4 linked regions of the Schizosaccharomyces pombe genome follow. Changing the gene in region 2 together with the main gene of any one other region gives a genetic interaction. Each region holds a gene or a part of one and is shown on either strand. Other genes may lie near its edges. The genes, in order: utr4, rtt106, cbs2 and mib1.

Region 1 (7,031 bases), 560 kb from region 2:
TTACACAGTTTCGCTGTTTTCAAAATATAACCACGGGTAAGTAATACAGTTGGCATACAACATTTGGGTAACCTACCATAATTATCAATTGAGCGCAAGAATGGCTTGGATACTGACTCAACCCCAGTCTACTGAATCGACGATGTTTGGAAAATCGAATGAAACCAGCAAAACCGATCCTTCACCTTTAACTATCGGTAATCCAAGTTTGATTATCGAGCAAAGATGTGGTTGGTGCTTGGACAGATGGATCTACTTGATTGCTTGATATTTTTCGGTGTCAGTTCGTTACGCTAAAATGACTAAGAAAAATGAACACAGCCTCGATAAACAAATATCATCAGTGCGATCCAACAGCGGTATTTGTCTGAGTTTCTGGTTTACATTCCGAGCCACATGAAAGATAGGCGTTACAGGGCTCGGGAATGCAGCCGAAGCCGTTCAAAGTTGTCAATAAAGAACGTTTGGTAGAAGTGTCCAACAGCAACGAAGTGTTGATGACTTGTTGCCAATGATGAATTTCTTCACTATTGAGTTGGACTTTGGAATGTGAGTGGTCGTACCAACAACTACGGGTATATGGCCTTATTGCAGTGTAAGATTATCTCATTGTCATACAAAGTGGGCAACTTCATACGCAAGGCGTGGGTTTCATGAACACACAAAACGAATCGAGATGATCATCGTTGGATACTCGCTTGATGCAGCTGCTAACGGAGATGCACAAAGCAATCGAACTTTACCATGACATATCCGAAACATGCTAAGATCTTGTTGATGCATTCGTTGACGTTTTTTCAAGATGTTTCGTAATTTCTATACCCCCGGGTGGAGTGGAGCTGCACTTACGAAAGGATAAGTTGAAGGCTGATTTTTCACATCCCTTCTTTGCAAAAGTTTCCAAAGATGAAAAGTGGAGATGCTATTACGCTAGCACAATATTCATCATCATCTGATCTGTTGTATAAAACTTTTTCATTTCATAACTTATGAAGTCAATAATAGTTTTTGAAAATGGGATTTCCTAATTTAGTCAATTTTGTGTTCCACGTTGCACGATGGTTAAAAACGGTAATTTACACTACTGCAACATAAGAAGGACTTGTAAGATATAGACATTAAAAAATAACCTCCCAAGGCGAGACTCGAACTCGCAACCTTCTGATGACCATCATAAGAGTCAGACGCTCTAAACCGATTGAGCCACTCGGGACTTGCTTGTATTGTGTTAAATTATGTACAATTATATAATAAAGTCTTTAAACAATGAAAGGCATTGAAGGTGTTCAGCTTGAATGAATTCTTTTTAGTATGTTCATTGATCTCGAAAGAAAAAAGAAATGAAATGAAAAACTCAAGGTTTGTAAGTATAACTTTTTTGGTTTTGAAAACGCTTGAATATGATGTTGAACATTGATAGCAGGGTAACCAGTATATGTAAATATAAATGCATCTTGAAAAACCTGTATAAGAAGTGCAAGTGGGTTAAAATACATTGATTTGAGTATATAAAGAATTTCTTAATGTTTTGGCAAATTCGAAGACTTTTCCTTTCTTAGCTTTTAACAATGACTATTTCTTTCCTCCCAAGTTCTTTGTTGATGTTTCTTTGTTCGCCAAGAGAATTTTCTTTGTCAAAATCTTTGATCTTTTAAAGAAAGTGTGCATATACATAATCACCAACTCAGTTCAAAATACAATTTGAATTTCATACTAAAGTATGCCCAATGATTTTAAAAGTCATTAGTTTTTTTCCAAAGTACGATCTCTTACGAATACCTGTAAGAAAATTAATATTATACATCAGCCTCGATTTAATTATGTTTTGGATGCAGCTTTAGTTTTTAATTATATTCATCAAGTGCAAAATTGCAAATCACTAACATACTTGCAAGCGTTTTTTCTGCCATGAAGAATCGGGATGTATATGTTCTACATCAATTACTTATCTTAGTGTGAAATGCAAATTTATATGCAGTTATTTTGTTCTGAATATTTATTATATGCTACCATCATCAATGTGATCAAGTCATTAAAAAATTTATTTACAGGCTCTAACATTTGTATCATTTCTAAAGTCCAGATCAAGCGACCTCGGAAGAAATTTTTTCTTAATTACTCAATTGCTGTCACTGGATAGGTTTGATATGATACTTTACTTTTGATCTTAGATTTCCAGACTCGCAACAATTTCTAAAAAATTGGGTAGTAAACACACACATGTAGGCTGGAAATATTAAACACTAGCAAGATGCATCCTTCCAACATTTTACATAAAATATTTCAATGTCAAAAGTTAAATATTTTGCAAAGTTACTCTCTCTATTTCAAGCAGAACCTTTCAAGCTGGTATTAAAAGTTTAAAACAAACATTAACAATGTGAAAAACAGTTTCATGTAATTAGCTTTATACTATTCTTTAGTTCTAACATATCTATTTCGCTCCTATCGGAAGTCATAGACTTTTGGAATTTCTTAGCAAAGCACTAAATTGTTGGCTACATGAACCTCACCCAGAACCTCGTTCATACCAAAAACTCCTCCATTTTTTCTCAACATTCCAATAAAATTGGATTATATAATTTCTTCATTGAACATTTTATTTCTTTTTTGTTTGAAACCTATCAATTACTGGTCATTTTGACATATGCGTTTTGACATTTGATTTACTACAATATTTTGTTATACATGTCCTCCGTAAAGAATTGATTATATTCATAAAGGTTTAATTGTTTCTATGAATTATTTATACCAAAAATTTCCTTTATATGCAAGAAACCGCTATCGTTACGTTGAAGAATTAAATTAATATTAACTTTCCTCCCTTCTTCTCATCGTCTTTCCACTTTAAAAATGGATAATATAGGTGCTGCCGATGCAGCGACGTCTTCTGGCATTTCTGGGTTACTAAGTGGAAATTCATTTTTAGGTGCTGGTATTGGTTTAATGGGTTTCGGTGCTGGGCTAGCCATATTACGTCGTGGGCTTATTTCAGGAGCAAGCTTAGTAAAAAGAAGGATGCTAGTGTCTGTCGAAATTCCAAGCAAAGAAAAAAGTTATAATGCCTTTTTGCATTGGATGAGCACGGTGCCTAAACGCTATTCAAATCAGCTGGCTGTTGAAAGCAACAGACAACTCAAAATGCCGCAAAATGCTAGGGAAAAACCTGACAAGCAAGTTGCAAATCGTATATTCAGCCTCGTTCCAGGTCCTGGAAAGCATTACATAAAGTACAAAAAGTGTTGGATTCAAGTAGAACGAGAGCGTAGCAATCGTCTGCAAGATTTAACAACTGGAACACCTTGGGAGACAATTACTCTTACCACTCTTTCAAGAGATCGTGGAATTTTTTCCGAACTTTTATTAGAAGCTCAAAAATTCATGCAAAGTGCTCAAAAAAACAAGACTACTATATACACGGCTTGGGCCACTGAATGGAAGCCTTTCGGGCACCCTAGATCAAAAAGGATGCTTTCTAGTGTTGTACTTGAAAGCAATGTTAAAAAAATGATTACAGACGACGTTCATGACTTTTTACGAAATTCACAATGGTATGATACAAGAGGAATTCCATATAGAAGAGGCTATCTTCTTTATGGACCTCCTGGAAGTGGAAAAACCTCATTTTTATATGCTCTTGCAGGTGAATTGGACTACGACATATGCGTTCTAAACTTGGCTGAAAAAGGCTTAACTGACGATCGTCTCAACCATCTACTTTCTAATGTACCTCCCAAGGCAGTAGTTTTACTGGAGGATGTTGATTCTGCATTTCAAGGTAGGGAACGATCTGGGGAAGTTGGGTTTCATGCCAATGTTACATTTAGTGGGTTGTTAAATGCACTCGACGGTGTCACTTCATCAGACGAAAGGATTATATTTATGACAACTAATCATCCTGAAAAGCTTGATCCAGCTCTCGTTCGTCCGGGCCGCGTTGACGTTAAAGCATATCTTGGAAATGCTACACCTGAACAAGTTCGCGAAATGTTTACTCGCTTTTACGGTCACTCCCCAGAGATGGCTGACGATTTAAGTGATATAGTGTGTCCAAAAAATACAAGTATGGCTTCATTGCAGGGTCTTTTTGTAATGAATAAGAGCTCACCTGCTGATGCTGTTGATATGGCTAAAGAGCTTCCTGATAATCCTCCTAGTACACCTTTCTCCTTTAACGTACACAGAAAGTCTTTGTCTGTATGAAATCCCTTAGATTTATTTAACTTAAAATGTTATTCGTTTCGTAATAAGCTCTACTTATCAATCTTGACCACAAAAAAAAGACATCTTGGTAGAAACATATATTGTACGCGATTAATCTATGAATAATTAATGAATTTAAAAAATGGTTAAAAAATAACTAGTCCGTATTTTCTATTCTAAAAGACAGGCATGCATAAGATAATTATTCAAATGCATGTTCTCAATAAAAAGCTGCAAGCTGTTGAAATTCTTTTTCCATATGTTTAAGAAAGTAAAATCCAATAAAATTCCAATTGTAATCTTAAATTATTTTACGTGATGCATAGCTGAATTCGCAAAGTACTAATCCTACTTACTGCACATCTTACTTCTTTAAAGTTGCATAAAACTTGTGTCCTAAAAGAAAAGTGAGTTGTACGGCATCTCTTTATTACAAAAAATGGTTAAAAATTTGCTCTTGGATATTGAAGGGACTGTGGGTAGCATTTCATTTGTCAAAGACAAATTGGTAAGTGAAGTTTTTTATTGAGAACAATGTAGATCGTGTTTAACCCATGCTAGTTTCCATACGCTGCTTCAAGATACGAAAGTTATGTTAATGAAAATTATGAAAGTGATGAAAACTTGCGAGAACTTGGAAAAACGCCTGAAGAGGCCTTGATAAATTTACGAAAGTTGCATGCTGAAGGAAGCAAAGAACGTTCCTTCAAAATGGTCCAAGGTCGTATTTGGAAAAAAGGTTATGAAAGTAATGAACTAACTTCACACTTGTTCCCCGATGTTGTTCCTGCTATTCAACGTAGTTTGCAATTGGGAATGCGTGTTTACATTTACTCCAGTGGGAGTGTTCCAGCTCAGAAATTGTATTTCGAGCATTCAGATGCTGGAAACCTTCTAAAGTATTTCTCTGGATATTACGATACTACTATAGGGCTTAAAACTGAGTGTGGCAGTTATGTGAAAATTGTGGGAAACTCAAATCCTAGAGAATGGCTCTTCTTGAGTGACAATATCAACGAGTTGAAAGCTGCAAGAAAAGTCGGGTTGCACACCGGTTTGGTGGTTCGTCCTGGCAATGATCCTGTTGTAGACACCAGTGGATTCCCCGTGTACAATAGTTTTGAAATTTTGTTCACGGAATAAAGCAATGGTGAACCCTAACGACCGTTTCGCTTAGAACAAAGTAATGAGTTTCTTTAAAGGACATGAGTTCTTTAAAAGAATTTTGATTCTCTTGTGCTCTCATTTTCTATTTCTTTGTGTTTTTTTTTTCATGATTTCTTTGAATACATCCGAAAATTAGTCAACGCAATTTCTTCTCTTAAAATATATTGAATTATTATAATTTTTTTAACCCAATGGATTTTTGAATTGTTTCAGAAACCTTTTTTAACTATGAAACTTTTTTACCATGATTGAATATTTGTATCAATTATCTAAACATTGAGTAAAACACTCTTGTAAACTCTCCATTCGTTCAATCAACTATTTGAACTGAATTTTTTTTTTTTTTTTGATAAAATAGAAAAAGAGCGTTCTTGTTTAATATTTTCCTCTCCTGTGTACTCATTGTAAAGAAGAGAGGTTTGTCAATCAACATGGGTTACAATTCGTCGGTTTTGTAGCCAAATTAACATTAATCCTTTATTAGTGATTTCTTTTTAAATGTTTCTTAGCCATTAATGTTTATTTATTTACTTGTTTCTGTGACATATAATATCATTACCCCCATTTGGTACCTCTTCCTCCCACTTTGATCAGCAATTACTCTCTGTAAGCTTCTCCAGGTTAATAAAGTCAAGAAGAGACTATAGCTATACCCCCATATAGTACTCTTTATCCCACATTTTGTATCACTCAAAATCAATTTCAACTAAGAGACCTAAGCAGAGTAATTTAACTGTCAGGTGGATTTGACTAAGAAAGTAGTAATAGCTTTCATTCAACATGAGTACTATCCATAGCTGTTTAGATTTAATTAGAAGTCAAATCCAGCAATCTGCAAATGGCCGCAATGTAAGTTTGTATGAGTGATTTTGGTTGTTTTTTCGGGTACTTGGTAAAATTGAATTTCGGATGTCTGATCTCCAGGCGAATAAAGTCATACTGCTCAGCTAATAAGCTTCGTGAAAGATTTATTTAACTCGACGATATAATACTTTATTTTTAGGCTTATAATATTTAAGGAAATGATGCTTCGCCGAGAATAAAATGTTGCAAAGATATCTTCGATTAAAATGGGTTTATCTGAAATAGCGTTGTTTATGTCAGCTGAGGTGAAGGAAAAGATCTAAAAAAATGAATATTTTCACTTTTACATTTTTGGGATTCCCTAAAAATCTTCCAATTTCGCCTGCTGCTTTATCCATCACTAACAATTGCCTTAATGGCTTTTAGGTTCTTCTTGTAGCTGTTAGCAAGTTTCATCCTGTTGAAACCTTGATGGAAGCGTACAATGCTGGTCAAAGGCACTTTGGCGAGAATTACATGCAAGAATTTCTAAAGAAAGTAGAGTTGGTAAGTGCTAGAATGTATTATGTGTTTTCGGTAATCTATTTTTTGATGCCTACCATCTTTAAAAACACTTTTTTAAGTTAGATAATAAGTGGTTCTCATTGTTTATTTCCATTCACAAGGCTAACAGTGCCATAGATGCCCGACGACGTCCAATGGCATTTTATCGGTAGTTTACAGTCATCTAAGTGCAAGAAAATTGCATCTGTAAAAAACTTGTACAGTATTGAAACCATTGATACTGAAAAGAAGGCTCGTTTGGTAAACAGCGCTCGTGAGGCATTACAACTACCCTTAAATGTCTATATTCAAGT
Region 2 (7,304 bases):
AAACTCTGAATTGTGACATACCTCGAACAATTTCAGTTGAGAACGGTCGTGTAAATTCAAAATAGTTAAAAGTGATCGTGGAACTTTAATTCTTGGATTGTTTTTAAATTCCAAAGAATTGGGAGTTGCTATTTCTTCGGAATTGAGATCACTCTTGCTATCACTTATAAGCAAAAACTCTTCTTTAAACTTTGAAGCGCTCAGACCTTCGTTAGCAAACGTTTCATCTTCATAATCTTGTAGGAACGTTTCCTGAATATCCATAGTTTTGACATCTGGATTCACAAAAACTTTTTCGCCAACCTGCTGACTATTTATGCGTGAATTGCGTAAATTGCGCATCTTGCGAATTTCTTCAGCTGCGTTTTCATGGTGAACTGACTGAGACTTAATCTGACTTTGCAATTGTTGAATATAGCTACGTTCATCATGACTAAGATGCTCTCGGTCATCCAATAGTAATTTTGAAATTGAAACTAGACCTTCGGGGGTTTTGGGTGAAGAAAACCGATTTTCACGCAACATTATTTCGTTTGTAATACCAACCTCCGAAAGCACTGAATAATACGCAACCAACGATTGTTTTAAGCAAGAAATCTGCTTTAGTGGTATTCTTTGGAATCTTGAATAAACTAACGCAAATTGGTGTTCCGCGATGTCTAAAGGGTATTTCCTGAGCAAAAGTTTTGCTAATTTGCAAAAATATAGGCGGTCAGAAAGATTTTCAAGTAAATACATTTTGGGATCAGCATTAGCAAGCTCATTTTTAGTGTTAAGTTTCGATACCTGTATACGACTATTGATTTTGTGTTCAGTAGCGTTCAAAGTTCTTGGATGAGGGTTCAACTCTAAATTTTTTTCCATTTTTATGCTCGGGTGTACATTACCATTTCCAGCTAGACACGCTCTCTCAATTTTTGAAATAACTTTCTCTGATGGATTAACTACCTTAGATATGCTGGAATGGGATGTCGGTTCAACATTGTTTATCGATTGTGGCATGTAAATATTTCCTAGTTGTTTGGCTAGTTGTTTAACATGACCCTTGGGAGGAGCCTCAGATGTCGGTGCCTTTGTTGTAGGAGCCTTTGTTGTAGGAGACTCTGCTGCAGCCAATGCTTGTGGTTGTACTGAATTAGAATCTTGGTTCATTAGTAGCGCAGTCTTTTCCCTTATCACTTGCAAAAACTTCTGAGAAGTTGTCAGAACTGAATCACCGACTGACACTTTTGGTGGTACTTCCATTGAACCATTTTTAGCAGCAAATAGGTTTATAGCTTCCTTTATTCTGTTACATTTTCTGGTGGAAGCCCGATAATTAGGACCTAAATTAAAGGGATTCTCTTCTAAAGCATTTGTAGTATGCCCTTTAGATAAATTTGAAACATAGTCCCTTTTTCTATTTCTCTCCCTAGCTAGCTCGATCCTTGCTCTAACATTTTCCCCGGAATACTTCCCCTGAATCCTCCTCTTAGCAGATAAACTAATTTTTTTTGAAGGAAATATTTCCTGAGGAAAATTGGTAACGACTATCGGAGGCGGCGTTCTTTGGCGCTTTTTAGAAGATGGAAGTTCTTCTTCATAATCTTTCAAATCACGTTTTAATGAGTAAGAACCAGAGGAAGCTCGTACGCCGTTGCCGAACATGGATTGAGAAGGATGAGAGTTTACGGGTTCACTAAATATTCGTTTAGGCTGAAGGCTTAAATCAGAAAGTTCACCATTTGTTCGAGGACGCCGGGTTTTAATAAACGATTCTTTGTTGCTTAACTTGCTTTTAACGTTAAACATATGATTGTTTTCAGCCAAGATTTTCTCAGACTCCACAGAATTGGCATTGGAATTGAGAAAAGAGCGACGATGACTTATAAATTCCTGAATCTGCTTCAAGCGTGTCCTTCTCTGAGAAGATTTGTCTTCTCCAGAAATATTTTCCGTTTTGCTTTTAGCGCCTTCCGTATGCAAATTTTCTTGACAAATTATTCCCTTTGATTCCTCAAGTTTGCAAAAATCGGTTGTAACTTTAGACCGCTTCAACTTCGAAAGCAACGCTGAATGCTTTTGGCCGGAAGTATAGGTAGGCTTTGATTCTCTCACAGGACGACAAGTGATGCGACTATCATTGCACGATTCCAACTTTGCAATTTTTTCCGAAACACTTAAGCTTGTTGGGGAAGATCCTTCTGTTATTCTAAAATCCATTCTACCTTTTTCGTGGATAATTATACAATTGATTAAAAGAAATTAATAGTTATGTCGGAAGAACGCTTAAAAAATACAATATGAATATAGGAATTCTTTCAATCGGTTGATCGCGAAAGCAATTAGGATAATTATGTAAGTTTTGTAAGGACAATTATCAAAATTGTTTCCTTAAATATTTATACAAACCGTCAGTTTTGAGGGAGGTTGAGGGTAAAGGAAAAATAGGCAAAACAAATAGCTTATGTCTTAAAACACCTCATTGCATTAGACCTAGCGAACAAACTATTTGTTTACGTTTGTAAATGTCAACACACGTTGATTACATCGGGAACAACATAAACCAATAAAACGAATTTTAGGATCATTTAATAATTTCTTTGACAAAATCGAAACAATAACAACTTTAAGGGAAACCATATCCGATTATAGGAGCAACAATCTGACCTTCCCAATGCTGAAGAAAGCTAATCAGTTCTACAGCTGAAATTTATCTATAGATCGCAAAAAGAATCAAAGGGAAAATCGATATCGTTTCACAAAATGTTCCCAACTTTTTTGGACTTTTCATACGAAAGTAACTGATACGATAATAGAATGAGTTTTTATCTCATTTATGTAAAATGACTACCTTTGTTGAGTAAAATTGAGCAATTATAAATTAAGCATATTCATATTGATCCATAAAATAAAAATTTGTTGCTAACATAAAGTCAACAGCGAACCGAAGTTTGAACGTAACCACTTGGGATAAAATTTTTATTGGATCGAAATCATTTGCATGATAATGGAAATAGTTGCTATTACATTTGTTACTGTTAGCTGAGGTGTGGTGTGCTGTCGAAGCCCTTGTTTAAGACTCAATAAATTCTAGCCGGCAGCCATCTCTAATGGAGTCCAACGTGAACGATGAAATAGAAAAGGCATTTGCCAAAGATTCTGAGTTAGCAAAAGATATAATCAAACAATATGGTAAGGTTTGAGTACATGCTTTTTTCCTTAGTCTAATGAAATTAGGGAAAACAAAAAGTATACAGCCTCTAGTGCATCGAATTTGCAAGTACATCAATACATTGCAAAAGGAAAACGAATCAGGCCAAGTGAAGGAGGCTGGAAGTTTAAAACGAAAGGATCGTGTTCAACATGAGTTAGGTCAATTGGTCTATGGAGTACTTAATCTATCGTTTCAGGCACCTATGCGAAAAAAGCTAGACGTCTACATTTATGAAAATGGAATAGCAGTAACATTACCAGGCGAACCCAATTTAATTGAATTTTGGCTTCCCTGGAATGAAATTCGTTGTGCAATCCATGTCCCATGTCCAAGGAAAGCTAATGTTCAAAACAACTTTGTGATCATCCTTAAAAGTGAATCGTCGGCAGAAAATATTGTTTCAAGTGATAATGTAAAAGAACCTGTCTTTTTTACGGCACCGTATCCTTTGAAAAAGCTCAACCTCGTTGAAGGTTTACGATCCTTCACCCACTGCACGAACTCATGGGATATTTTTCGCGATTACTTTGAGTTTATTGGCACTAGTACTTTGTCTCCTTCTGTCGAAGAATTTGTTTGTCCAAACCCGCAAACGGGGGACAATGGCACGACATATGGGGTTGAAGCAAACTATAAAGCTAAAGATGGTATGCAAAGGATGAATTCTGTGTCAAAATTGCTAATCAAATAGGGCATTTATTTTTTCTGCGTACTGGCATACTATGGGGCTTCCGTAAACCTATACTTTTCATTGAACTAGCTAGCATCCAGCATTTTTCCTATAGTAATGTTTTGCAACGAACATTTACAGTTAATTTTGAAGCTGGTGGTACAATATATTCATTCGATATGGTTGATCAAAGTGTCTTTAGAGCAGTAAATGATTACGCGACAAAGCATGGACTAATGGACTCCAGTCTTGCTGAAGAAAAAGCTGCACCAGTCCCTAAAAATCCATCTGTTTCATATTTGAATGAGGCATCATCTCTTGAAAATGTTGATGATATGGATGATATTGATGTTAAAGAACCTTTATTCTCTGATAACGACGAGGATGTCGAAAACAGCGACAGCGAGGACGGTAGCGAATCTATCGGTTCAGAGGACGAAGAATAGAAAGTTGAATGTACATAAATTTTTTTCTGTTTTATTTATTACCAGTTTGTTTTAATTTAAGGATTTAAATAAATTTAAAGTCTTCTAGCAAAAGGTTATCTGTGAGCTATCCAAATTTGTTTTAGACTCAAGTTATACACAAAGTTGTCGCAGGATACATTTTTTGTTGATAGTTTAAAAAGTGTGGATCTGGACTTTGTGTGCTAATCAATAGATTTACGCTCCCACTTGTTTGAGTTTTCTCAAAAATTACCCGACCAACATGTAAATATTTTCTATAATACTAATTTATGAAAATTCCTAATTACCTTATTCGATCTGCCGCTCTTAAAAAAGGTATATAATGTAAATAGCGGTTATTTAAAGTTCCTGATGTTCATTTTAACAGAAGGGTAGCTGAGTTTAAGCAAGAATTACCTGAACTGCCCATAATTTAATTCACAATTAGCATAAATCTTTAAAAACTCTTTCACGAGATTTTTTAATTATTTTTTTCAAAAAAAAAGACGACTATAAGTAACTAATTGTTTAATTTTTTACATTAGTTTTTTTCTTTGTCAATAAATTACTAAAATCTTTTTCTGAATGTAAGAAATTAAATAATTTAACAATATATCAACTCATCGACTGTTATTGAAGGATCTTCTTCTTAAAAAGAAAGAAAATTAATTTAAGACAATAGAAATGTTTTTGATTGATATTAATGATTAGCTCTTCTAAAATGCTGTTGCAATTTATCTAATCATTATTTATTTACATTTTAGTTAAAAAGCTATGTTCATAACGTACGGTAAAAAAAATAGGTGACACTTACGCAGTTCAGTGTCTTTTTTAACGATACGTAAAACCCGGTGATAATTCTTGTGACCTATTATATTATAATAAGTAGGTTAATAAGCGCTGACCAATGTAGGTATTATATATATGGGTCAAACTGTTACCTGTCACTAAATAGTGCTTATTACTGTACCTCGTTTCTCAGTTAAGTTGTAACTCTATTTATAATCTTACTGATAATTTTTCTAGAAAAATATCCTAGTAAATAAGAGGATAATGTCCGCAATGATCAATACGCGGATCTAACTGGTATTCTAATATATGACATATAGTGATGAATACCCTAATGTAATATAGCGTAGTGTAGTATTGCTTGCACAATAAAACTTTATACCCCCATGCGTTATTAAAATTAAAGAGGCATAACAGAAATTATTTCCAACAAATTTTCGAATCCTATAATGCTAATTCAATCCTAGAGCAAAATGCCAAAAAAAAGAAAAACGCGTGGTAAAAAGCACTCTGCCAAACAAAAGGAGGAAGAAGTTAATTCAGTTGTTTCTCCCGGTATTGCAAAAAACGATGAAGGCGCTGGAAATGATGAAGGTGCATATCAGGTAAACCGTTACACGAATGAACCAGTGCAACCGTTTTTTGGTGCTTTGGACCCCGAAGAAGAAAAATACTTCCAACAAGCTGAACAGGCTTTTGCCAATCATTTTACAAGAGAAAACGAAGATACCAGGTTTTTTGTCGACAGCATTTATCGTGAGGTGCAAGGCAAAGAGCTAATTGTCTGCAACAATGTGTTCGGATCGAAGGTTCTTGAAAAGCTTTTCCCTTTATCAACGAGTAGACAAATCAAATCGTTTTTTTCTGCATTGAATGGTCATTATGTGGAGCTAATTCAGACAACGTTTGGCTCTTATGCTTTCGAAAAGCTGTTGAGTCACATGGCTGCCATTCTAAATTTGGAAACCCAAGGTGTTACAGAGGATCAAGATGATGTTTTGGAAGGTGAAAATGAAAATGTCTTCATGACAGCAGAAACTTTACTTATGTACATGTACAATGAAATACGCCCAGAGGTTTCTATGCTAATGAGCCATAAGTTGGCTGTTCATGTATTGGGCAAAATTTTCCTTTTGCTTGATGGATATCGATTCGTGTATCATGATGGAAACAGAACCACTATGGAGTCTATTTCTGTTCCCGAATCCTTTCCCCAGTTTGCTTATTCCATAATTGATAGTGCTACGGACAACCTCGATACCCCAGAACTTCGAGCTTATTGTGTTGATAAATATGCGAGTCAAATTATGAGAGCGTTTATACGTATAGACTTTGAGCGCTCAAAAAAAACAAAAAAGAAGCACGATCCACGCTTAGTTTCCAAATTGTTACTATCTAACGAGTACGATTTAAAAGAATTACCGTTTATGGAAACTTTGTTGAAGGACGAAACTGGCTCGCGTATTCTGGAGGTCATCGTTGAAAACATGTCAGCCTCTCATCTACTCAGATTTTATGCCGTCTTTGAAGGACGTTTTTATCGGCTTTGTGTTCATCCTATAGCCAATTTTATAATGCAACGTTACATAAGAAGGTTGGGAAGGAAGGAGATTGGTTCTGTCATTGATGAATTAAAGAAGAATACAGACAACATCATTAGGAAGTCATTTCTTCCAGTGTTAAGGACATTACTTGAGAAGAGTAACCATTTACATTGTTATCAAGATGACATATTTTCAATGATTCAGACAAGCGTAACAAATAGTGGAAAGGATGCCAACATTATTCCATGCTTGCTCCGATCGAAGCATAAACGTGATAAAGCCAACCCAGAAAACAAAGAGCGTAAACTTGTTAATAATTTACTGGGTGCTCAACTGTTAGAAGAAATGCTTCACTGTGAGAAACAACATATTCAGTTATTATTAGATAGCGTTTTAGATCTCTCAAAAGAGCAGATTTTGGAATATTGTCTGGAAACAGTATCCTCTCACTTGATAGAAGGAATTCTTGATTTATCAGACTTAAACCCGGTATTTCTTAAAAAATTTCTCAATATCCTTTCCGGATCATTTGCTACATTAGCTGTTTCTGCTCCTGGTTCGCATATTGTAGATAAAGCGTGGAAGGCCACAAGGGCATTGCCGCTTTATCGTACAAGAATTGTTCGTGAGTTGGCTGAAGGTGGTGACGACGTCAAATT
Region 3 (7,460 bases), 560 kb from region 2:
TTCATTATACGTTACGCGCTACACGAAATAGAAAAAAATGAAGTTTTGATAAAAATATCTTCAAAAACACATTTTTTGAAATATTTTTCTGTGCGAATACGACTTTCTATGTAAAATCCCGATTGATTAATTCAAATTCCTACGACACAAGGGTACCTGAAATCAACATTTATGATATTGTAGAGCTAATATAATATACCTTCCTATGAATGTTTTTGCTATAAAATTTTGTTGTAAGAGTGTCTAATGCTTTGAAGGTAGAAGGGGGCTTATTGTTTACCTTGATCGAGGGGGCTTCATCGACGCGTTACCACCATACCACTACCAGTTGCACTTACCTTCGACCAAATTCTCAAAATGGCAGTTATCCCTATTGAAGAGCGTAAATTTCCTAAGACCCTAGTTTTATTTGACGTTGATGGAACGCTCACTCCTGCACGTTTGGTAAGTTTAGATTATTGCAGTCGAGCTTTCTTGGATTCAATCTGAATAGCCGGCTTGTATCAAATTTCCTATTTTCCAATCACATTCTCTATGGTCATCACCATTATTTAATCAGAGATGGCTTGAAAGGAAGTTTTAATTATCCAAAATATTTCGGGAGCAAGCTATTCATGCTCTATGACCTAGTTTATTTCTCTTTCCATTTTGTAATAACAAGACTAACATTTTAAAGAGTGTCTCCCCTGAAATGCTCGAAACTTTGCAAAATCTTCGCAAGGTTGTCGCTATCGGCTTCGTAGGCGGTAGTGATTTGAGCAAGCAACAAGAGCAACTGAGTGTCAACGGTGAAAACGTAATTGATTCTTTTGATTATGCGTTTGCTGAAAACGGATTAACTGCTTATCGTTATGGACAGCAATTAGCTAGTCAGTCATTCATCGCCTGGTTGGGAGAAGAAAAATACCAAAAACTGGTTAATTTCTGCTTACATTACATTGCTGATCTGGATATTCCCGTGAAGCGTGGTACTTTCATTGAATTCCGCAACGGTATGATCAACATATCTCCTGTAGGACGCAATGCCAATACTGAGGAACGCAATGAATTTGAACGTTTTGATAAGGGTCGTAAAATTCGCGCTACCATGGTCGATGTTCTTCGCGAAAAATTCAAGGATTATGGATTGACATTTTCCATTGGAGGTCAAATCTCTTTTGATGTGTTCCCTGCTGGTTGGGATAAGACATATTGCTTGCAACACGTAGAGAAAGAGGGATTTGATACAATTCACTTTTTTGGAGACAAGACATACAAAGGCGGCAATGATTATGAAATTTTTGTCGACCCTCGTACTATCGGACATTCTGTTACTAATCCTGACGATACCATTGCTGAACTCAAGAAAATTTTTAACATATAGATGAGTTTGTAGTGTGTTGATTAGATATGCGTCCCTCTCTTATCATTACGGAAAAGGTTAGCTTTCTTAGTTGTAAATAACTACTTCATATGCTCGGCGAGTGTGAAGTTTCTTGCACACAATTGATCTGTCATTTAACTCGTACATCTTCCATAATTATTGGTAGCATGGAATGCGAAGAACATTAAATTATTGTAATCTACTGCCAACGCAGCTTTTAATACTCATACCTGAACAATATGCATATATGAAAGAATATTTACAAGAAAATTACACTTACGATCGGTTAATTGATGCATTCCTAGAAAAATGCGAACTTAGTAGCTAATGAAAGGCATGTGTTAGTTATTTAATTAGATAGGCATTAGCATAATGGTACAAGTCACATCATATTATATAGACAGAAGTTGTAATAACCGAATTAATACTTTTTGAAATAAAAGAAGCCTCATTCGAGTACACTGAATTAGATACCACCTCGAGCTGCCATGCAAAAAAAAAGAAACAACTCAACGGTTTAACTTCAAATATCATGAGACTTGGCAATGTTTTCAACAGATTATGAATGCATTCAGGCTGAAGCGCACGAGAATCAAATTATACGGCAGATTCAAAATTATCAGTTTGTTCGGGAACGCCGGGCGTAGTCGTTTTATCGTATATTATGTAATTTAAAATATCAGCCAAAGATAAAATACCTTCGAGCTTCAAGTTTTCATCAACCACGAAAAGACGATGAACCCTGGAATGCTTAATAGCATCAAAAATACCATCCAAACGATCAGTAGCTCGACAAGTGTGGACGCCATCAAAGTTAGCTGGTCTTTTCAATAAAGCCTCGCCTACGCTCAAGTCTAAATTACTATAATCACCATCTTGTATAAGATGCATTACATCCACCGATTCATAGACATTTAGCAGGGTACCTGCTCAGTTAATATATAAATTATTCACAGAAAAAATTCAAAACATCTCACAAACCTTCAGAATTAACGATTGGGACGGCAGATATATTCTTTTCGGCAAGCATTTTAATAACATCATAGACTTTCGTTTCCATAGACGCGGTAGCTAAATTTGACCATGTCCCAATTGTCATTTGGTTTAATGGTACCCGTAGCATTGCGGTTTCTTTGCACTAAATTTGAAATTAGTAAATATAAAAACATAACACGATTTACGAACATTCATGGAGATAAATTTCAAAATTCGATATTGTGTCAAAACAGATACAATCATTTCGCTGCCTGTCTCGCCATCTACGTCAATTAAAGGAATTCTTCTAGCACGGCTCTTTGACATGGCTAAGCAAGCATCCATAAGACTATGCATTGGATGAACATATATAGTTTCCGGAGGAATGGCGCCAATCTTTCTTTCCACTTCACGAAGTCCCAACAATCGAAATTTGTCAATCTCAGCTATAGCCTCGGGAAATGAAGAGCTTTGGTAATAATACTTAATAACATTGACGAAATCCGCCATCGTTAAAAGGCCCGCAAACTTATTCGCTTCACTGTCCCATAAAGGAGCACTGACGATATCTAAGACGTGATTAATAAGTTGATTTCACATCTGTAATGAAAAATCTTTCGTACTGTTTAATGTAAGAAGAGAAAGTGATGTTTTTACAAAAAGCGTAACATCGAACACGATTAAACGGAAGGACGTAGGCAAAACATCGTAACTTGTACGCGAGCGTATAAATGCTTGAATTTCTTTCTGTACATCACATAGATTAATAATTATTTCTATTTAATAAAAAATCTATTCCATATCACTTACGAGTGCTCCTTTTTGGGTCTCTTGAACGTCTGTCATGACCTCGTCAAAGGATATATGGTGTGGTTGGTAAAAGAGACTAGATAAATGAGCGAGGGGAATGGTAACCCGCACAAGGGCAACAAATCGAGGTGTTAAGTAATTAGTTGCAAATAGTACAATGCCTAAATTATGCGTATTTGTTAGTGCTTTTAAATGATATATTTCACTTAGGGGAATATTGTAGCTAAACTCGTTGATTTAAACTGCTTATATAGTTTACTATTTAAACGTAACAATATACATTGACAAAATTAAATGCAACTAGTCTATTAACTCAATGATAAGATTGATTAAAAGGCTTAACAATTAAGCATAAATTTAATCCAATAGTCGTCCGCTACAAAAATAACATCGTCGAGCAAAAATTTCCCAAATCTTTAGTACTAACAGTAAACTATAGTTTCGACTGTAACAAAGTTTCAATGGCTACCGGGTCGTCTAGTGTCGCCATAACAAAAGTTTGGCTATTCCTCGTAAAGGACTTGAATTATCAACTTCGATAAAAAGCAAAAAAATACACTAAATTAATGGTAAAATACCAAATTTCAAACCATATCCTTACTTACTAAATTATTTCGGCCTGTTAATATATAAATAGATTCATGAATTTTAGCACACACGTTTTAAAACATCGATACCTCAATCTTCCATTCAACCAAATACAAAATCGATAAAAAAACACTAATTTCAATTTGAACATGATTATAAGCTAGCATAATTAATTATTATCAGAACAAAAACCCCTGTTCTAATCCTAATGAAATTTTGTGAAAACTAATTCACAAAACTATAAAATTTAGACATGATATCATGTTCCCAGTTAGAAACTCCCTTATAAGAACCCAAATTTGCATTTAGAACTTCTCAGAAACAAGACCGTCCTTGAAGAAGATCATGTAGGGAGTAATACCATCCTCACGGTAGTTCATTAAGACAACCATTGCGTCGGGATCCATGCTCTCACCAATGTAAAAGTCGTAGTCCTTGAAGTTAGCCAAAATCTTCTTGACGAATCCAATGGCATTCTTCTCGAAAACAGGAACACGCTCGGGGTTGCTTTCTTGAAGACGAGCCTTGATAGCCTTCATGTAACCCTTGATGTAAGACATATAGGACTTCTTGTCAAAAGAAGTAGGGCTTAAACGGAAAGAGTAAACAAGATTGTTTACAGTCTCAGTACCCTCTTCAGCATTCTCCTCAGCATCCTCGGCAGAAGGGTTGGCACCAATGTCAACATCACCACCTTGCTTGACAGTGACCATTTGGCAATCAGCCTCGTAGACAATATCGTCTACCTCCTTCAAGTCGTAGGCGTCAGAAACGAGTTCGTCTCCAGAAATAACGTCCTTGTACAACAACATGGTGATTGCAGATGGTAGCTCATAATTTGACTTCTCGCAGGTTTAATGAGATAAAGCAGTCACAGTTTAGGGCAGGGTTACTGGATTCTAGCCATCCGTATGGAATGCGGTTACGAACAGTATTCACTTTACGTAGTACAGCGTTGTTTTCGATAGATACATTTTGTTTACCAATTCCTTCATTTTTTTCAATTTGTCGTAGTCTGTTCTCCTTTCTTTTAAATAACAATATTCTTTATATTTTCAGATTTTTTTTTAGATGAAAATATCGTTGTACTCAGTCAGTAGTAAATTGTTTTATATTACTGAATCTGATTTTTTGAGTGAAACCATTATGATGCGTGTAAAATTAAGATTAAAGCTGGAATTAAAGTCCAAATGAATTCAACAATTGAACCATATTTAACAGTATGTGTATTAATCTCTATGTTCTTTAATCAACTTGTAACCATTTATGTCGCCTCAAATTTATTATTCGAGCTATTATCCGTCAATTCTTGAGTCGTAATTAGAACATTCTCAACAGTACTGAGCTTCAGAAGAAACCTAAAAAAGTAGTGCATTATAGTTGATAATAATTCCTTAACGTTTATATATGATATACTTAAAAGTATGATATCGTACATCCTCAATTTGAAATTGCAGGGCCATTAAAAACACTCGTTAATAAAGATATTCAGTTCAATTAGAAAAAAATGACAAGGTACATTTTGGTGACAAACAAAGAGTAACTTAATGTTTTCCGTTGATTAAATTTTCGATCAATATCCCAAAATTTAAAACGCTTTAATGGAATGGATTAACGATTAAAATCGACTTCATTTCTAAAACCTTTCAAGCTTTAAACCGATTCAGTCCCTTCATTTAGAATGGCATATTTCGATTTTTGCTGAAAAAACCAAGACGACTGTTACCACTTTTGTTTACTACTTTACTCACATAGACATTCGAGAAAACGAAAAATAGTTGAGCACGAATAGAATTACATGAAAAAAGTAACTTCTATTTAAATTTAAAAAGCTCATTCGTAACTAAGCTCTTTTATTGTGCAAAGAGAGGATTAGTTTTCTAGTTTGTACAATTGCGCTGAAAAGACCAAGAACTCCAATTTGGTGTTTGTGTAAACCAGCTCCATTTTCTACAGACCAGTGAATACACAAAGGAAGGCTAGCCAAGTTTGAAGCTAAGTCTAACTGATGCTCCTTTTCGTCTTCTGTTTTTTCACGCAAAAGCTGGTAAATGGTCAATAAAGTATCGAGAAGCCAAAATCTAGAAGACCAAAGCCATAATTTGTCTTCCAACGGTTTTGATATGGAAATAATCTGTTTGCCGCCTAAGAATGCCAATCCTTCTGTGACATAGTATCCAATATTGATTGCGTTACTCATGTAAGTTTCAGGAGAAGAATCTTTACGAAAATTTACGATTAATTTGTAGAGACCAGGAAGACGTAAAATACATCGAAATTCATTTAGCATAGAAACCAGTTGAGCAGTTGATTTCGAAGATGCTGGATCCAACCTCGCAACGTTGACAAGAATGGCAGCAATTTTGTCAATTCCGCTGGGATTTTGCAGCATCAGGTTTAAAGAATGCATATAAGACATATTTCTCAAAAAATTTCAGCTCTAAGATTTGGTCAATTATATTGTTCACGAAAGGTAGTCTAATTTTCGTATACTTTAGTAGAAAAGCGTAAAATCCAAAAAAATACTAAGTAGCGTATGTAAACGACTAAAATTACCAAATCCAAAGATTATTTGAATGACGATAGATGTCGGTTCGGCAACGTCTTATGGTATAGAGAGTGAGTGTGCTGCTATAGTCGATCGGATCAGCAAACGTTAGCTAGTCTGTTTAGTACACCAATAGATTTGATAAGAAAAATCTACAGTGCAGCAAAGTGAAATGTTATTTTATGAGTTGATCGATTTTACTTTTAGAATTACAAATGATAAGATATGATAACTTTCTCCAGTTATCACGTCGATTAGATCGCCGGAAATAACTCCGATATTGAGGAAAGTGTATTCAGTTGCAACAAACAGCTGTGACGGCTTCAAAGTATCGGCAAATCATTTTTTGCATGTGTTTTAAAAAAATAGTTCAGCAATAAAAAACATAAATTTGTTAGGCTTCTAGAGGCATATGCTTATTTATGTGTTATTTTTTTAATATTTATCATAACGTATTTTTTATTACAAATCCTTAGGTAGCAATATCTTAAGAATTAAACATACATATGTTCAAGGATAAAAGAAAGAAAAACTTGGAAACTGGGTTTATTTTTTCTATTCCTTTGTTCAGATACATATAAAACAGCTTAGTTACTATGGATTATTATCATATAGAATTATGATAACTGTTTAAAATAAATATTATTTGGAATAACGAGATTTGTTTAGGTCGGCTTGAGATACGCACAGCTACGTAAGATTGTAGATAACAAACTTTGAAAACCTTCGCATTCAGTGGCCTGGGGAGCATGCAGACTACACTTCCTATTCTTCCTTTGCAAAAACCTTCTCTTCTTACTACATTAGTATATTTTTCATAGGGAGGTGCTATATGCACTGTATTCATAGTTACGCTCTGCTTACAGTGAGCAAAGTATTTCTTTGGACGCTAAAAAAAGGCTCCTGTATATTGATTTGAGTAAATATTTTGGCATAGAAAAACACATTCAACGCTACTTAATTGTTTTTTCCATTTCGAACTACTATTGAGAGGAAGTTGTTTTTTCAATTGTTTTATATCATTTGAAAAAAATTGAAGCACAATTGCTTATCTTTGATCAAACGTTTAAGGAGTAAGCTCCAAATTCGATAATCCCTATTCCGTTCTACATAAAACCTGAGTTCATCTCTTGTGCTGTCGCTTTCAACCTCAGAAGCTGTTAAGGATATATATTA
Region 4 (8,391 bases), on a different chromosome or scaffold from region 2:
CATCTTTAGTAGGCTTGTTCGGTGTAATGCAACTGAAAAATGATTTTATGCTTCTTCTTTGCTGCTGTTTGTTATGAGCCTTAATACAGTTTCGTATAAGTCTGTCATACAATGCCACCCACTCATCTACAGGAAAGCGTTGCTGAAGGGCGGCGATTCTCAGTTTATGGCGCATTTCAGGAGTTGATTTTAGAGCCAGAGTACAAGACTTCTCAAGTTGTTTCAGTAAATAGGCGGTTGAGCTAGATTCAACAGAATACCACCATCCTGGCATTTCTCCTAAACCTCCGACTCTTGAGCCGATACAAATAGCACCTCTCCTGCCAAATTCTACCGCGACTAAACCAAAAGGTTCATCACGAGAAGGAATTAGGGCAAAGTCAGCTCCTTCAAAAATGAAGGGTGGTAGATGAACGAACTCGGGTTTTGAGAAAACGCGCCCTGGATAACGTTCCATTATGTACATGAACTTTTCTGCCGCAAATTTACCATATAAATCAATTAGAGGCCCAACAACAATTAATTGAATGTTGAACTTTTCTAAGAGGGTTGGCGCGAGATCAGCTAAAATATCAATACCTTTTTGCACTGACCATCTACCTACAAATACCAGAAGATCCGCTTCATCATCGATTGTCAAACCGGCCCATTCTTGTGCCTTTCTCTTGTTTTCCTTCCTTACCGAAGCATATTCTGCAAAGTCAGGAAGTTGTTGATTCACAGGATTAACACTCAAACCGATGTCGGTAGGATCAGGGTTAGGCAATTGTCCAATTTTTTTGAGACTCCAAAAAACTGGATATCGAACCCATGAGCGTTGGCCATATTTGTTAGAAACACCAACTACTCCGTAACCGGACTGATGACGACGAACATAAGAAACACCGCAATGCATCAGGTTGAAAGCATTACCGAATTGAATGTATTCTCTGCAAATGGTTTTGGAAACATTGAATAAACCACAAACCTCTCTTTCATCAATACTGGACTGTAAAGGCCACAAACCTTGGAATTCGGCATTATGGAGTGAAATTGCACAAGGGATGACCTCTGGAAGATTATAAATTGGAGCAAGTGCACCATGATAATCATTAATATGATAGATATCAACCTTTTCACGACGTATTATAGCAGCAATGGACTGATTCCAAACACTGTAAAAAATGGCTGAAGATATATCATCCATACGAGGAGGATAAGGATCGTGTGATGTCCGCTTTCTGAATATGGGAGAGTCGAGAAGAACATATTTGATGTTGTCTTTATAATGATAGAAAACTTTCACTTCATAGTCTTGGTTAACCACTTTAACTACCAAAGATGGAGCAGTTTCAGCCACTGGATATGTGATATCTCCCACACAAGGAACGACCCAAACCAAATCATACTGCTTTAATGTCTTACTCATTAATTCAGCCATCACTCCTAAACCTCCAATTTTAATTTTTATATTCCATTCCGGAATGTTATATTCGAGTGTTGCGAAAAGAATGCACGTCCTTTTACATGAATGTCTAATCATTACAGGCTCATCATTATCATTCAAAGTCAGAAGATTTGCGCTATCCGTACGAAGTAATTCATCCTTAGACCTTTTCAACCAGCTATCCTTCTTCTTAGAACGACCGGACTTATTGAATTTTATGACACAGTATTTCTTCTTGTAAATGTAAACAGTAAGGATTCCTGTAATAATAGGAACGATTGAAAAAGTAATAAACAAAGCAAAAGTAACCTCGCGTAGACCGCGCAACTCTAGTAAAAAGTAACGGCCAAGGTTATCGAACATAATAGACCAACCGACATGATTCACTTCAGGTGCTTCTTCAATCCAAATAGATTGCCCAAACAATTCATAGGGTGTAAAGCGATAAAGATGGGATGATCCATAAGAGTTTTGAAGGGCTTTAAGGGCAGAATAGGCCGCTCGAGAATTTAAATCATCTAGTTTACCATTGTCGCTCATCAAATCACCATTAGAATTTCCACTTTCAACATACGCTTCAACGTTTGGAAAGAAAGAATCGAAATTTTCCTGAAGTGGACGATGCAAGATATCAACAGTAAGGTTGTAATCTTCAGCAAAGTCTTCATCGATTATAAACCTTGGTCTTACTGGAGCAAAAGAATCAACACTTTCTAATGAAAAAGAAGAGTTCAAATTCTCTGCCTCATCCAAAACCGATAGCCATTGAGCCGAAGACAGTACAATCCATCCGAACAAAAATTGAAAGAGAAAGCTCTTTTTCTTTATATTCATCCTGATTTTCTATCAAAATTTCCAAAAGAGGAAATGTGCCTAAGACACAAATAGCAACCCGGCTAGATGAGAACAAGTTCGACAGTAAGTCACCCTTGAAGCAAGCTATTATCTTTTTTGCCAAAGCAAAAGAAATATAAATTTACTTGTGTTAGTAAAGGAAAGGGTTATGCTCTGGGAAGACGGTGATCAATCGTTGTAATATTTATACTCAAAAATGCCAAAACATAAACAAACAAAAAAATGTGATAGGAGCTAATTTAGCGAAAATGTAAACAATGATTGTTTAATAAAGACGTATCATTTAAGACAAAATTTTGTGTTCTTGTGGATGTTAATACATGTTTAATATGATTATATGAGAGCATACCTCGACTAGGCAAAAAAACACCTTGCTTGTCACGGAGAACAACACGATGCCGCTGCTGATGAAAAGTATAAACAATTTCCAATTCTTTTTCATTGTCAGAAAATAATGGATATATTCCGATAATTGACGACTAAATCAACAGTTAGCAATCAAAACAAAAATGAAATGTTAAGCGACATAGTTTTACCTTTGAAACACTAGAAGGGATAGCTAAACGAGAGTTTTCAACTAAAGCAGCAATTGATATAGTCACATCTTGCTTTAAATCAGGTTCGTTTGCACCGCAATTAACGACTCGGTACTCGGCATACTCAATAACCAGACCGCCTTTCTCCATTTCCAATTTCTGTTTTTTCTCTACAATTTCCTTCATCAATTTAACAGCTCGAATTGCAGAAACTTTCTTGCGTTCTTGAGAATCCTTAAGTTTTTGTAATCGTAATAAGCGCAGTCTTTTCTGATTGGAAAGTCGCCTGGGACGGAGGAAAAATTGCTCAACTCCAAGTATAGAAGTAATCGGAAATACGAGACCCCAAAAGACTGCAGAACGATCAAACACACTACACCACATAATAGGAAGAGAAATCTTTTGACCAAGGCGTGACCAACTAAAAAAATTAGTATTTGTAGTTGAGAAGAAATCGAGAAATGAACATACTTAAGACTAAACGTAATAGAGCCAGTTGGGACACCAACTGAAATATTTACTCCAAAGGTTGAATAACGGCCAACTTTACGACTCGTATCACCGGAAACCTGAAGACCTCCTACTGTACTCATCGAAGTCCCGAGTTTGATTTGATATGGTGAGTCCTCAGTTGCATTTTTTAAATTATAGTTGTAAGCAATACCGCTATACATTAAACCAGCAGTAACTTCAGCGTTCCAACTGAGTTGAGGGACCAAACTATTTGGAATAGCTTTCATTTGCTGCCAAGTAAGTGAAAATGAGGAATTCGCTCCACGAGGGGAAGCAATTCCCCAAGAACCAAGTGACCACACACCAGTTTTCCAGCGTGCTGTAAGAGTACCAAAGCGAGTGATTTGTCGTCCGATGACTACGGTGGCTTGCGGGGGACGCTTTAGACCCGATATTTGAATAAGAGGGACAATAAAAGTTTGGTTATTGATAGCGTACACTGACTTGACGGTAATTAAACCTGGCCTCAAAAGAGAAAATCCAATTTCAGAACTAAGGTTAGGAGAGGGCTGAGAATGATAAACGGCAAAAATGGAAGGTTGAAGCTTTGAGTTTTGTCTCATTGATGCTTCAGTGACTATAGATAAACGAGAGGATGTTTTATGGTTGCCTTCATCTTCATCTGAAGGCGCGGAAAATTCATCATCAAAAGAGCCTGAGGAAAAAGAATTGAAAGACGGCTTTTTGAGGTCATTGGAAAACGATGTTGGAATAGAGAAAGAGCTTTTAATTTGAAAAGATACCCACTGGATTAAGGAAAATCGTTCATAAGGGGTCAGCATTCTAGTACCAGCACCTAAACCAAGAGCATTCTGAACTCGAATATTTCTGGCAAACAAGGGGGTCATATTGACCACTATCGTAGTCTCAGAACGACTCTGCACCAAAGAATCGATTTCATGGATATCTCTTTCCTGAATTTGCTCCCTTATTTTGTTTTTAAGCTCTTCAGCTGATTTCCCTGGAAATCCAACATTCCAATCTGTTTTCAATCCTTGTTCTCCAAAATTGTCATAAATCTCTTTTTTTGATGGATCAGATAATACTTCGTAAGCATGTTGTATAATTTGAAACTTTTCCTCAGCTGCTGCCTTCTGGTCAGCAGTGTGACGATCAGGATGAAACAGTCTTGATAGTCTGTAATATGATTCTTTTATTTGGTCACTTGTAGCCTAGAGTTTAAAGGAAATGTTAATAAAATATGCATTCCCAAATGAGATTATTTATACTTACATCTTTGGGAAGTCCAAGAGCCAAATAAAGCTCCCAAGAATCCGCTTCATCCATGACTAATCTTTTATTTTAAAATAAATTACTTCAAATTATCTTAATTTACGTGTAAATTTTCAGAAACCACAGATTAGAGTATGGATCGTGCAGACATATGTATGATCAAGGTATGTGCTCACTATAAGTGACCAAGGTAATGTAAAGTTTGATGTAGGTTGTAGGATTAGAGTGAGCTATAGCAGTATTTTAATATAGGAACTTTTAAATAATAAAACTTTATATGATCAAATTATCTTGGCTTTGATGCCATTTCGAAAAGCATGAGTTTACTAGTTAAACTAATTGTGCTCGGGAGCAGCTTTTTGTATAATTGCCAAACCCATGCGTATTTCATTTTACACAGTTTGCAAACTATGAAATTCTAAGACAAACTTAAAATAATAAGTCTCGAATTTGAATAATGCTAAATTGGCTTTAGATATTATGTTTAATGATTTACAAAAAGTGGAGATGGTATAAAATAATGGATTGCATACTAAAGATATCAGCTTAATGAATTGATATGTAGTCATAACTTTCATTCTTAATTTCAAAACAAATAAGCGAATGAAGCTTTTCATGACTAATGACATTTTTCGTTTGATAAATAATACTGTTGAGGGATTTTATTATCAGATGACACCATTTGACTTAGATATAAAGTATTACTGACAGGAATTTTTCAATTTACTTGAAATGTCTTATACTTGATTCTCAAAAACGTACTAATGCACTTTTAAATGCGAAACCAATTCAGCGTACAAAACCAACTATTAGATTAAGGAAGCACTAAAATTGAGAATGGTGAACTAGAAAAAGCTTTGTGATATATAAAAAATCTAAAAAGTTTCAAGAATAAAGTACCAAGGGCAGTGCAGCTATCATTAAAGCGAATGGAACAAGTTAAAAAACAAGTTTCTATTACTACCAACGAGATGTCAAATGTCTCTTAAGCTTATAATTAAAACAAGAATACCTAATTTCGTTTGCCATTTTACAAATAGCGTCTTTGGTTTTTGACTCGCTTACCCATAGCTTAAAATAAGCTCAGCAGGAAACGAATTTCTATAGGTATAGGAACTAGCATTGTATGAATAAACCATATTACTTATAGTAGTCCTTGGCTAGTTACACGAAAGTTGTATATGTTTATGTTATATTATAATAAGCAATTATTGATGAGGATAGTTCATAGGATACATAATACAAACCTCTGTTTGATGCTATGGATTTGATATTAGTTTAACGGGATCGGTCTTTCAGTATTTAGTATTATTCTCTGCGCTACTCTATTTAGAGTCTTAATCAACATCCTACATTTTTATCCTCGCTTTATCTGCTCTTTTACTAACACAGAAATTTGAATTTAAGCATCAGTTTTTATTTAGCGCGAACCGGTATACGATTTAGTGAAGCGCTATAAATTTAGCATATTCGTGAAGCTCAGAGGTTGTCGTCGTTATTGTTGATTAAGCACCTCATCTATTTGCTAAACGGGTTAAATAAAATGTGATGGCAGCCGGATTCGAACGCTGATATATTAGATTGTTTACCTACGCCTAGTATTTTGTTGCTACCAGCGTATCCATCCTTCAACAAACTACACCGCTAAACAGGTTTTACAATCTTTTGCAAGAAAACGAAGGTTTCTAAGGAGACTAGCGTCAATTCGGACGTACATTTGAAAAATTTTAACGTGGTCCCTTCATTCGACGTAAAGTCGGCTCTTGCACTTCCGCTTTCTTTCTTCATAGATTTTTGTTTATTCAATACTGGTACTGCATTGATAATTTCTTGACCCACAATTTCCACTCCTTTATTATTAGTATTTTATTGTCATTCTTTTTGGTGGGATTTGGCTCATATCATTAACTTTTACAAAACATAATTTTTTTTGTGCTCTCCCAAACTTCTTTCTTTTAGTCGTCTTGGCTTAAATACCCCTTGATACCTTTTTTTAGCATGTTTGGTGTTTATTTTGTTCTCCTATTTCTTTCAAGCGCCCTCATTCATGTTGCTAATGCTGGTAGTAATGCTGAGTGGCGCAAACGTATTATTTATCAAATTTTGACGGATCGTTTCGCGGTTGATGATGGAAGCACGGATAATCCATGTGATCCGGATGCAAACCAGTATTGTGGTGGTACCTGGAAGGGTATCGAGAACAAACTGGATTACATCGAGGATATGGGTTTCAATGCGATTTGGATATCTCCCATTGATAAAAATATTGAAGGAGATATCGACGGTGCTGGTTATGCTTATCACGGCTATTGGAACACTGATTATGAGTCCCTCAATGAACACTTTGGTACAGAAGATGATTTAGTTAGCCTTATTACTGCTGCTCATAAAGCGGGTATCTGGGTAATGTTGGATAGTATCGTCAATTCTATGGCACTTGCTCCTCCGCTAGCAGATGCTGACTATTCATCTCTTAATCCTTTTAACAAGGAGAGCTACTTCCATCCGTACTGTCTTATTGATTGGGATATCACAGATAATGAGACGAACGTAATGGATTGTTGGCAAGATTCTGGTGTATTGTTGGCCGATTTGGATGTCGAAAGTTCAGACGTTTCTTCCTATTTGAGTGATCATTTCAAAAGTCTTATTTCTAAATACGATTTTGATGGACTGCGTATTGATGCTGTGAAAATGATGAACTACACATTCTTTCCTGATTTCGTTGATGCTACGGGTGTTTACAGCGTTGGTGAAGTTTTCTCTTATGATCCTGATACTATGTGTAGTTACATGAGTGTCCTTCCTGGAGTTACCAATTACTTTTTGCAGTTGTACATAAACTTCTCTTTTACTGCTACTGGTGCTGGATTCACTCTTATTCCCACTTACCAGGAGGTAATGGCTTCAAACTGTTCAAAATATGATAGTACTTTAATGTTGACTTTTATCGAAAATCACGATTTGTACAGATTTCCTTATTACACAAGTGACCAGTCACAGATTATGGGGGCTTTGTCATTTGTGTTGATTTGGGACGGCATACCCTCAATTTTCTACGGACAAGAACAGGGATTCAATGGTGGTGAGGATCCTGCTAATCGTCCTGCACTTTGGCTTACTGATTACGATCAATCAAACCCGTACTATACCGTTATTAAAACGATGGTTGCATTTAGAAAGTTTGTCATTACTCAGGATCCGGATTGGGTCACTTCCACATATCAATCGATCGAATCTGCTGTTGATCACTATGTTGGACAAAAAAATGATGTTCTCGTCATGTTCAATAATATGGGAGTTACCAACAACCTTACAATTTATGAAGTTGAGACGAATTACACTGCCAATGAAGTAGTCTCTGATGTCTTCGGTCACAGAACTTTAACCGTTGGTGCCGATAAAACCTTGACTGCCAGTATGACCAACGGATATCCCTTGATTATGTATCCACATTCGAAGATGTCTGGTTTTACATTACCAACTGTCAATCGTACAGTCATGCCATCTACATCGGCAACTGCCACAACCACTGTCTATACCTCTTATTACTCTCCTTCTTATTCTGCCAGATCATTTACTGGTACTGGTAGTATATTTACGATCTCTTCATCATCTAGACTTATCCTTTCTTTCAAGACTTTAGTTTTTGGCTTGGGTGTTACCGCAATGCTCTTTGTTTTATTCTTCTAGAATGCCCAAATAACCGCGTTAATTTTTAAAATTTTAACAATTTGCGTTTTTTTCGTCAAGGAAGGTCATTTTTTGGGTTGAATCTAATAACCATATAATGAGAATGAGTTAATTTATGCCTACAGCTTATTCTTG

The links.
Region 1: mutations in rtt106 (region 2) and utr4 together harm fitness more than expected from each alone (negative genetic interaction), as found in Schizosaccharomyces pombe (one large-scale study listed by BioGRID).
Region 3: mutations in rtt106 (region 2) and cbs2 together harm fitness more than expected from each alone (negative genetic interaction), as found in Schizosaccharomyces pombe (one large-scale study listed by BioGRID).
Region 4: mutations in rtt106 (region 2) and mib1 together harm fitness more than expected from each alone (negative genetic interaction), as found in Schizosaccharomyces pombe (one large-scale study listed by BioGRID).

Annotation. Positions count from the first base shown.
Region 1 is NC_003424.3:2,683,553-2,690,583, forward strand, and holds utr4 (methionine salvage haloacid dehalogenase-like hydrolase), read left to right. Parts: upstream 1-4,557; 5' UTR 4,558-4,642; coding exon 4,643-4,711; exon of another isoform or gene 4,712-4,764; coding exon 4,765-5,346; 3' UTR 5,347-5,618; downstream 5,619-7,031. Other genes in the region: bcs1 (iron-sulfur protein assembly ATPase), read left to right, coding at 2,854-4,203; SPOM_SPAC644.09 (pyridoxal phosphate homeostasis protein), read left to right, coding at 6,151-6,219, 6,601-6,720, 6,856-7,031. UniProt on the Schizosaccharomyces pombe protein: Bifunctional enzyme that catalyzes the enolization of 2,3-diketo-5-methylthiopentyl-1-phosphate (DK-MTP-1-P) into the intermediate 2-hydroxy-3-keto-5-methylthiopentenyl-1-phosphate (HK-MTPenyl-1-P), which is then dephosphorylated to form the acireductone 1,2-dihydroxy-3-keto-5-methylthiopentene (DHK-MTPene).
Region 2 is NC_003424.3:3,243,496-3,250,799, reverse strand, and holds rtt106 (histone H3.3 H4 heterotetramer chaperone Rtt106), read left to right. Parts: upstream 1-3,081; 5' UTR 3,082-3,092; coding exon 3,093-3,174; intron 3,175-3,219; coding exon 3,220-3,843; exon of another isoform or gene 3,844-3,887; coding exon 3,888-4,312; 3' UTR 4,313-4,615; downstream 4,616-7,304. Other genes in the region: ArfGEF Spo7, read right to left, coding at 1-2,202; RNA-binding protein Nop9, read left to right, coding at 5,575-7,304. UniProt on the Schizosaccharomyces pombe protein: Has a role in meiosis.
Region 3 is NC_003424.3:3,805,487-3,812,946, forward strand, and holds cbs2 (protein kinase activator), read right to left. Parts: upstream 3,217-7,460; 5' UTR 3,185-3,216; coding exon 3,149-3,184; intron 3,086-3,148; coding exon 2,962-3,085; exon of another isoform or gene 2,908-2,961; coding exon 2,549-2,907; intron 2,502-2,548; coding exon 2,345-2,501; intron 2,290-2,344; coding exon 1,961-2,289; 3' UTR 1,646-1,960; downstream 1-1,645. Other genes in the region: phosphomannomutase Pmm1, read left to right, coding at 358-444, 677-1,363; tma19 (translationally-controlled tumor protein), read right to left, coding at 4,042-4,548; SPOM_SPAC1F12.04C (uncharacterized protein), read right to left, coding at 5,580-6,155.
Region 4 is NC_003421.2:833,831-842,221, reverse strand, and holds mib1 (DNAJC11 family protein), read right to left. Parts: upstream 4,738-8,391; 5' UTR 4,618-4,737; coding exon 4,564-4,617; intron 4,503-4,563; coding exon 3,289-4,502; exon of another isoform or gene 3,239-3,288; coding exon 2,818-3,238; exon of another isoform or gene 2,761-2,817; coding exon 2,631-2,760; exon of another isoform or gene 2,628-2,630; intron 2,585-2,627; coding exon 2,565-2,584; 3' UTR 2,261-2,564; downstream 1-2,260. Other genes in the region: spore wall alpha-1,4-glucan synthase, meiotic Mok14, read right to left, coding at 1-2,260; aah3 (GPI-anchored glycosyl hydrolase family 13 protein), read left to right, coding at 6,562-8,256.